Drosophila melanogaster: one gene and its partner. The protein of the gene in region 2 interacts with the protein of the main gene of each other region in a pairwise test. Each region holds a gene or a part of one and is shown on either strand. Other genes may lie near its edges.

What was found. The genes of interacting proteins can lie anywhere in the genome.
Region 1: the proteins of CG9588 (region 2) and Map60 interact in a two-hybrid assay, tested with the Drosophila melanogaster proteins (one large-scale study listed by BioGRID).

The regions. Positions count from the first base shown.
Region 1 is NT_033778.4:9,589,160-9,592,912, reverse strand, and holds Map60 (Microtubule-associated protein 60), read right to left. Parts: upstream 2,047-3,753; 5' UTR 1,885-2,046; coding exon 1,613-1,884; intron 1,549-1,612; coding exon 498-1,548; 3' UTR 169-497; downstream 1-168. Other genes in the region: CG1827 (uncharacterized protein), read right to left, coding at 2,529-3,597, 3,651-3,753; clos (closca), read left to right, coding at 1-166.
Region 2 is NT_033777.3:13,675,026-13,678,778, forward strand, and holds CG9588 (uncharacterized protein), read right to left. Parts: upstream 1,657-3,753; 5' UTR 1,505-1,656; coding exon 1,403-1,504; intron 1,103-1,402; coding exon 776-1,102; intron 712-775; coding exon 478-711; 3' UTR 67-477; downstream 1-66. Other genes in the region: Lkb1 kinase, read left to right, coding at 2,085-3,187, 3,254-3,448, 3,510-3,667, 3,725-3,753. UniProt on the Drosophila melanogaster protein: Acts as a chaperone during the assembly of the 26S proteasome, specifically of the base subcomplex of the PA700/19S regulatory complex (RC).

The DNA of each region.
Region 1 (3,753 bases), on a different chromosome or scaffold from region 2:
CTGGAAGGCTTTGCTGTGCTGCAGAAATTACCTCATAAGGCCTCGCACATGAAGATCATCTCCGTGGACAACGAGGACGTACTGGCCATCTGGGAGCAGATGCCCAGCGAAGTAGGGACTACTTACACATGGCAACCGGATATACATCTTTTTGGGCGAAGTTCAAGTAAGTTATGTAGATTTATTTGCATATAAACGTATTTTAAAATCAAGTAGCATATTCAACCTTAAATAGGGACAAATTCGAAATCTCAAATATTAGAAATACATTTTAAATTTAGCTTTAAAATTCATGCGTAAATGCTATGAACACTCATACCAGAACTGTGAGTAAATACATTTTACAAGTGGGCGGCACAGAACGCAGACGTTTGAACACGGAAAAAATAATACGATAAATACGAGAAATGGTTCAGACAGGCCTACTACATAACTACCTTTTTAGTTTGTCTAATAAGTAAGCTGAGTAATCATTTAAATTGCGAGTATCAGTCGGTCTACTGCTCCAGTTCGTCGCTCTGCACATCGAGGATGGCGCGCAAGATGGACAGCTCCAGCTTGGCGGAGGCACGCGAAGAGAGTCTGTTCATCACATTGGCCACGTACAGCCCGAGAGACTCGTGTCGCGACGAGTTGCATAGATTCTTGAAAAAGGTTGGCGGCAGCGAGTTGTCAAAGTTGCCCAGGTTGATAATCTCGGGTGTATTGGAGGAGGCGGCGTTGATCTTCGGCCCGAAGATAATGTCATTCTTAAAGTCCAGCTCGTCGATGTGTGGCGAAAAGCCGTTTGTGGAAGCCACCGAGGTGGAAGCAATGGTGGCGGCTGTCGATGAGTTCGCTCCCCCACCACCACCGTTTATCTGTTGTGCCGATGGAATGGTGATGATGTTGATACCCGGCGGTGGTGTCTGGTTGTCCTCACGCTCCTTCTTAACCTGCATCAGCTGGGCAGTGGTTGTGTGCACCACATTGTTTCCCGCCGGCAGTTGATCTGGAACGCTGGTGTGCACTGAAGTTGCGGCTGCCGATGAAGCGGCTTGTTTCGGGCTCGTGGTCTTGGTCTGCTTTTTTTGCGCCGATGACGAGGTGTACTCCTCCGAAAGTTTGCGCTTCAAAGAATCTGGCAGCTGAATGGTGGTGCGCGAGGAGCTTGATCTTTGCCCACTGGCTGGCGCCTGTTGCCCAATAGCCGGTTTCGGTGCTGCTGCGGAGCTGGGCGTCTTCTTCACAGTAATTCCCTTCTTTTGCAGTACTGCTGCGGCGGCGGACAGCGAGCTACTTCGCGGTGTGTTGTTAGCCAGTGTGTTGAGCAGCTTTTTCTCCTCGATGGCTGGGCGAGGAGTGTCGACGTTGGGTTTGGCGTACGCCAACCGCTCGTCCTTTTCTGGCGAACCGGTGCTGTGTGACTTTGTGGGGCTTTCGCCGTCGGAGGACGCCGAGCCGGTAGAGTTGGTGTGCTGTCCGTACTGATGGGCGTCATCCTCGTCCTCAGGCTCCTGCACCTCCAGCATTTCGTACTCCTCCACCTCCTCCATGGGTACTTGATCACTGCAGAATAGCAGTAGAAATTTTGTTAGTGTTTCACGGTTAGAGGACTATTTACGCCACTTACTTCTCCTCCTTGATTGAGATTTTAGGCTCCTGATGGATCTGATGCATCAGACTGAAGAGCTTCCACGCCGAATTGCCCTTTAGCTTTTCCTGCTCGTACTTCTTTTGGAGCACTATGAAGATGGAGCGCGATTCGTGCACAGAGAGCTTGTTGAGACGCCCGATCCTGGCCCACGCCTCCTCCTGCTCCTGCTTGCTGGCGCCGCCATTGTTTGGATGCAGCACCTTTTCTTTGGCGATGTCCTGCAGAATCTTGTCCAGTTGGATTGCCATCTTAGTCAGCGACTTGCGGCCCGCTGGTTGCGCGTTCCTGATAATTTTGGAGGCTGTTTTGATAACACGCGACACACGAATTGGTATATGTAACTAGGATCCGCTTGTTTTTCTCTCCGCTTTCGCACCGTTCGCTTCTCTTTTCTTCTGTATTTGGCGTCGGTAAATTGGCGGAAAATGTGACCGTGCAACACGCAAATACTAGAAATGCCGCCTTTTGGTACAGTAACTTAGGGATGAGGGAGATTTTGGCAACATAGATGTTCACAGTTCACAGCTCTCGATGCAGTGAAAATTAAATTTTTATATATTATATTTATCACTATAAATATTAATACTTGCATTATTTTTACTTATATAACAATTATAATGTTTCTCCATAAGGAAAAGTTATTCATTTTGGTAGTCATAACTATCGAAGGAATGGTTTTTGTTTTGTCTTTTTCTATTCTATTCTCATACTTTATTTATTTATTTTATGTAAGGATCCTTACATATCGATAATTCTTAATACCGCTAATTTACGGTAAAACTACCCGTCTATCTTGCTGCCGATAGGGACAAACAAATAACGCAATTTATATTGCAGATGAGAACTCCACGAAATTTAAATTTTATTGAAATACGTTACAGTTTTCGCCACCTCACAACGCCACGATATTTACTTTGTCCTGACCACCTATGCATTTGACCGTTTCCAAGCGCGTAGGCCCATCCGCTCCGGCTGGACTGCTAACCATAAAGGGGAATTCGGCCAGGCCGTAGCAGGCAGCGCCATAATTACCCAGCCGATCTACGGCGATGAGAGCACCCATGAAATCCTTGTGGTGCTTGAGAATGCGGCGAAGGCCCTCTTGAGCTGCCTCAGCCGGAGGTTTTCCCGCCCGCATGGTCTCCACCGCTAGCAGGGAGGGCAGGAAGCGCATCATCACATCTCCATCTCCGGTTGCCACGGCTGCACCCACCTCGTTGTCTGCATAAGCGCCAGCACCCGGAATGGGGGAGTCGCCGACCCGTCCGGGAATCTTGTGCCGCGCCCCGTTGGTGGAGGTGCCGGCGTGGATGTTGCTTTCCACGTCGATGGCGATCATGCCGATGGTATCGTGGTTCTTGCGTCCGATCTCATACTCATTGCGGGCACGGTCCTCCTTCCAGCGGGTCAGCGGAGTCGGCCGCGGCTTATACGGGCCGCAAGAGACCTTGGGATCCGGGTGAACGTTCTTCCAGAAGTTTGGCTGGCAGTTCTCAGCCGTCCACTGTAACCACATGTCCTTCGACTCCGGCGTGACCAGCGACTCTGATTCGAATCCCATAGCATTGGCGAAAGCTGACGCCGCATCACCCACCAGCATGGTGTGCTGCGTGTGTTCCAGAACATGCCGGGCTACCTTAATGGCATCCTTAATGCGTCGCAGACCAGCCACTGCCCCCACATCCATGGTGGCCCCGTCCATGACCATGGCATCCAGTGTGGTTTCGCCCAACTCGTCCGGCGATCCGCCATAGCCCACCGTTCGGTCACACTGGAGTTTCTCACACTTCGAGCAGCCCTCCACTACCGCATTCCGCGTCTGCCGGAGTCCACCCTTGCTTTGCTTCAGGATTCGCCAGGCGAGCACATTGGCAGCCGTGAAGTTCCAAGTGTTAATGACCATGGGCAGCAGCTCACCCGTCGTCTTATTCGCCTTCACGGCAGTGGTGCCAGCTTTTCCACTGCAAAGGGGCGGATCTTAGCGAACAAAGAATACGCTGTATGCGCTGCTCACCTAAACGCCGAAGTCAGCGTTGGTTTGGGCGAAGTATTTACTGCCGCAAGGATGGAAAACGCCATGGTGGCCAAACAAAGGATCCAAAGACTTGCCCGCAAGT
Region 2 (3,753 bases):
ATAAGAAGAATAAACCATAGTCTTCTGCAAAAACGTTTATGCTTTTAGATAATAATTTCCAAATTTGTTTTTTATATTTTTAATTATATATCCTTCTTTATTTACCAGTAAAAGCGCTATAAAAACTTATTTGTTAGTAAAACCGCCTCATCATTTTGTTACGCATCATTTCATATTGAATGAAAATTAAATGCAAAAAAAATCGGTCATGTCGACAGAATCCACCGAATCACAATATCATCCTTTTGCCTGTCACCTGTGCACCTTGGGTCACTCCACTGCTGCTCCTTGGCCCACTGACCCGGCTGTCAGTCAGCGAGATGACTCCAGCTGAAATTGCCCTGAAATCGCGTCCAAAAATCAATTTTCACAATTTGGAGCAACCATGTTCGTCGGCCTGGCAGAGATGGGCTGATAACTAAAGTGCAGGGCAGGAGTGCACAGGCAACTCGAAAAAAGCTTAAACACAAAGCTACATCAGTGATCCATCGCCTCGGGCGGCAGGACGATGTTGCAGCCCAGGAGACCGCGTCCACTCCACGTTTTCGGCACCAGGATGAGGTCCAACTGCTGCTCGCCGCGCTTCACTTTCAGCTGGACATTCTGGCTCTGCATGTTGCGCACCAGCTCGCCAATCTGGGCGAGATCTCCCTTGAAGTTGCCGCTATTGATGGAGCCAAAGCGGAGGATGGCATCGCCGGCACAGAGACCCTTAAATGGTAAAGATGGCCCATCTCAATGCTGTGATCTTCGCTTGTTTACTACATTCACTCACAGCTCTTTCGGCGGGCGAATCGGGACTGACCAGATTGACCACCACGATGGCGCGTGCAGGAGCAAGATCCGTGATATTAGCGCCACCGGGTGAACGGTCGCTGTCCAGGTCCAAAGCGGAGGCGCGGTTCACCAGCTCCGGATCTGTGGTGGCAATCTCGCTGTGATATTGGTTGAGCAGCGTCTGGATCTGGTTCATCAGCTCCTTGTGGTCGTTCTGCAGGCAGATGATCGTCTGTCGCGCCAGGCGCACCTGGTAAACGTCGATGTCGTTGCGCGGAAAACCCTCGGCGTCCACCAGTGGTCCACTCATGCCCACATTGTCGTTCTGGAAGGAAGATATCATTATCAATGCTATACAGCATAAACAAAAGAATGTACTCAAAATACAATTGTGTATATACCCTACACCAAAGCATAGGATAATGCTGTAATGCTTGCCCAAGTGGACATACCCTAACCAACAGTAGGGTATTGAATATATCAACATTTGGCTTGGCGGTCCGTCCAAGTTGAAGAACCTGCGATCATGAATATCCACGGTGGTGCGTCACCAACAGCTTGCCACAGTGTGCATACCCTATCCCGGATGCAGGGTATCCCCGGATGAGCAAGCGAATTTACTTACGGCGGCCAGGATCTGTCCGTTTCTGTTGATCTGCGCCTCCAGCTGCTTTTTAGCGTTAATCAGACGCTCCAGGCGCTCCTTGGTCGTCGTCCCAGCGGCCATGACTTCCACTTCGATTCGAGTTATTCCAGCGTTCGTCCCGAAAAATACAAATTTATTATTTTTCGTTAATGTTTTTTTTTTTCAGCAGCGACAGTAGCAACAACAACCAGTGCTCGTGCAGCCCTGGTTGCCCGCGACCAGTGTGACCGTATTGCGGCGAACTTACTTTGGCCAAAAACTAATTGTTAAACAATTTTTCGGAAGGGGAAAAGAACAAATTGAACGGCGAGAGTAAACACAGGAATTCACAAATTTCTATGAGAAACAGATCGCACGACGGTGAAACGAAAGGGGGGAACGCCTTTCCAGCGGACATCGCAGAATAGACGACGGGCGACGAGGGACCTCGAAAAATCGCACGGCAATCAATTCGAGTGTGTGCGAATTGATTACAAAAATAAAGGTATTTCGAGAGGTGAGCGATAAAAGCGCGTGTGTGCCTGGTGAGGATTAGGTGTAGCCATGAACTAACCAAACGTTTTGCAGCCACAGGCAACACAGGGACCACACCGTCCACTCCCATCCGCCGGAGTGGGGCTGCCACCTGCGATATGTGATCATTGGGGCTCCGCGGAGGTTTATGCAATGTTCTAGCTCTCGGCCAGTCGGAGGTAAAGCAGCCGGTGGAGCAGAAGCAGGAGGGGCAGGAGCAACAGGCCAGATGACTGTGACCACCATGGAGGCACAGGTCAAGGCAGCACACCATCATCATCTACATCATCCCACGGGCGGAGGGGCCCAGCACAAGGTGGAGGAGGAGGAGCCGGATCCTGTTGAGGACGAGATGACCGTACTGCTGGCCAATAAGAACTTTCACTATGACGTCGCCTCCGATCTGGACGACGACGCTTTTGTGGAGCTCAAAGAAGACACCGCCCAAGCGGATGATGCGGGCGCGGGCGTTGGCTTCTACAATCCGGATGAACTGCTGCTCGATGACCAGCCACATCCGCAAGTCACGTGGCTGGACGACGACGAGATCGAGACGCTCGATCGCGTGACGCTGGACATGGGTAATATGTTCTTCAATCGCGTCGACAGCCAGGACATCATCTATCAGCAGAAAAAGAAGAGCATTAAGATGGTGGGCAAGTACATAATGGGCGATGTTCTCGGCGAGGGATCGTACGGCAAGGTGAAGGAGGCCATGAACTCGGAGAACCTGTGCCGCCTGGCCGTCAAGATCCTGACTAAGCGGAAGTTGCGCCGGATTCCCAACGGCGAACAGAACGTAACGCGCGAGATCGCCTTGCTGAAGCAGCTGAAGCATCGACATGTCGTGGAGCTGGTCGATGTTTTGTACAACGAGGAGAAGCAGAAAATGTACTTGGTCATGGAGTACTGTGTCGGCGGGCTGCAGGAGATGATTGACTATCAGCCAGACAAGCGGATGCCGCTGTTTCAGGCGCACGGTTACTTCAAACAGCTAGTCGACGGCCTGGAGTACTTGCACAGCTGCCGGGTCATCCACAAGGATATCAAGCCAGGCAACCTGCTGCTCTCCCTGGATCAAACGCTGAAGATATCCGACTTCGGTGTGGCGGAGCAACTGGATCTGTTCGCACCTGACGACACATGCACGACGGGCCAAGGTTCTCCGGCCTTCCAGCCACCGGAGATTGCCAACGGACACGAGACGTTCGCCGGCTTCAAGGTGGACATCTGGTCCAGCGGAGTGACTCTGTAAGCCTTCCTTGTATAATATCATGTATTAAATGTATATACTGTACTAATCTAACGGATTTGCAGCTACAATTTGGCCACTGGACAGTATCCCTTCGAGGGCGACAATATCTACCGACTGCTGGAGAACATCGGGCGAGGTCAGTGGGAGGCGCCCGCGTGGCTATACGAAATGGACGCGGACTTTGCCAACCTGATTCTCGGCATGCTTCAGGCTGATCCCAGTAAACGCCTCTCTCTGCAGGAAATACGCCACGACACGTAAGTAGGAATATTCCTTGATTGCACTTCATGATAACTGATTGTTATAATCTGCTTTTAGTTGGTTCCGATCCGCACCGGTTAAGACCGGCCCACCGATACCCATTCCCCCCCTGAAGGGTGACAAATACCGCAACTCCACGGTGATACCTTACTTGGAAGCTTACCACTACGGCACCCAGGAGGAGGATGTCTACTTTACAGAACACGACGTAAATCGTACGTACCAACATCAATCTAATGCCGAGTGAACTACTTTCATGGTTACCTTTACAGAGGAGCTCGCCCGCCAAGCGGCAGCTGCT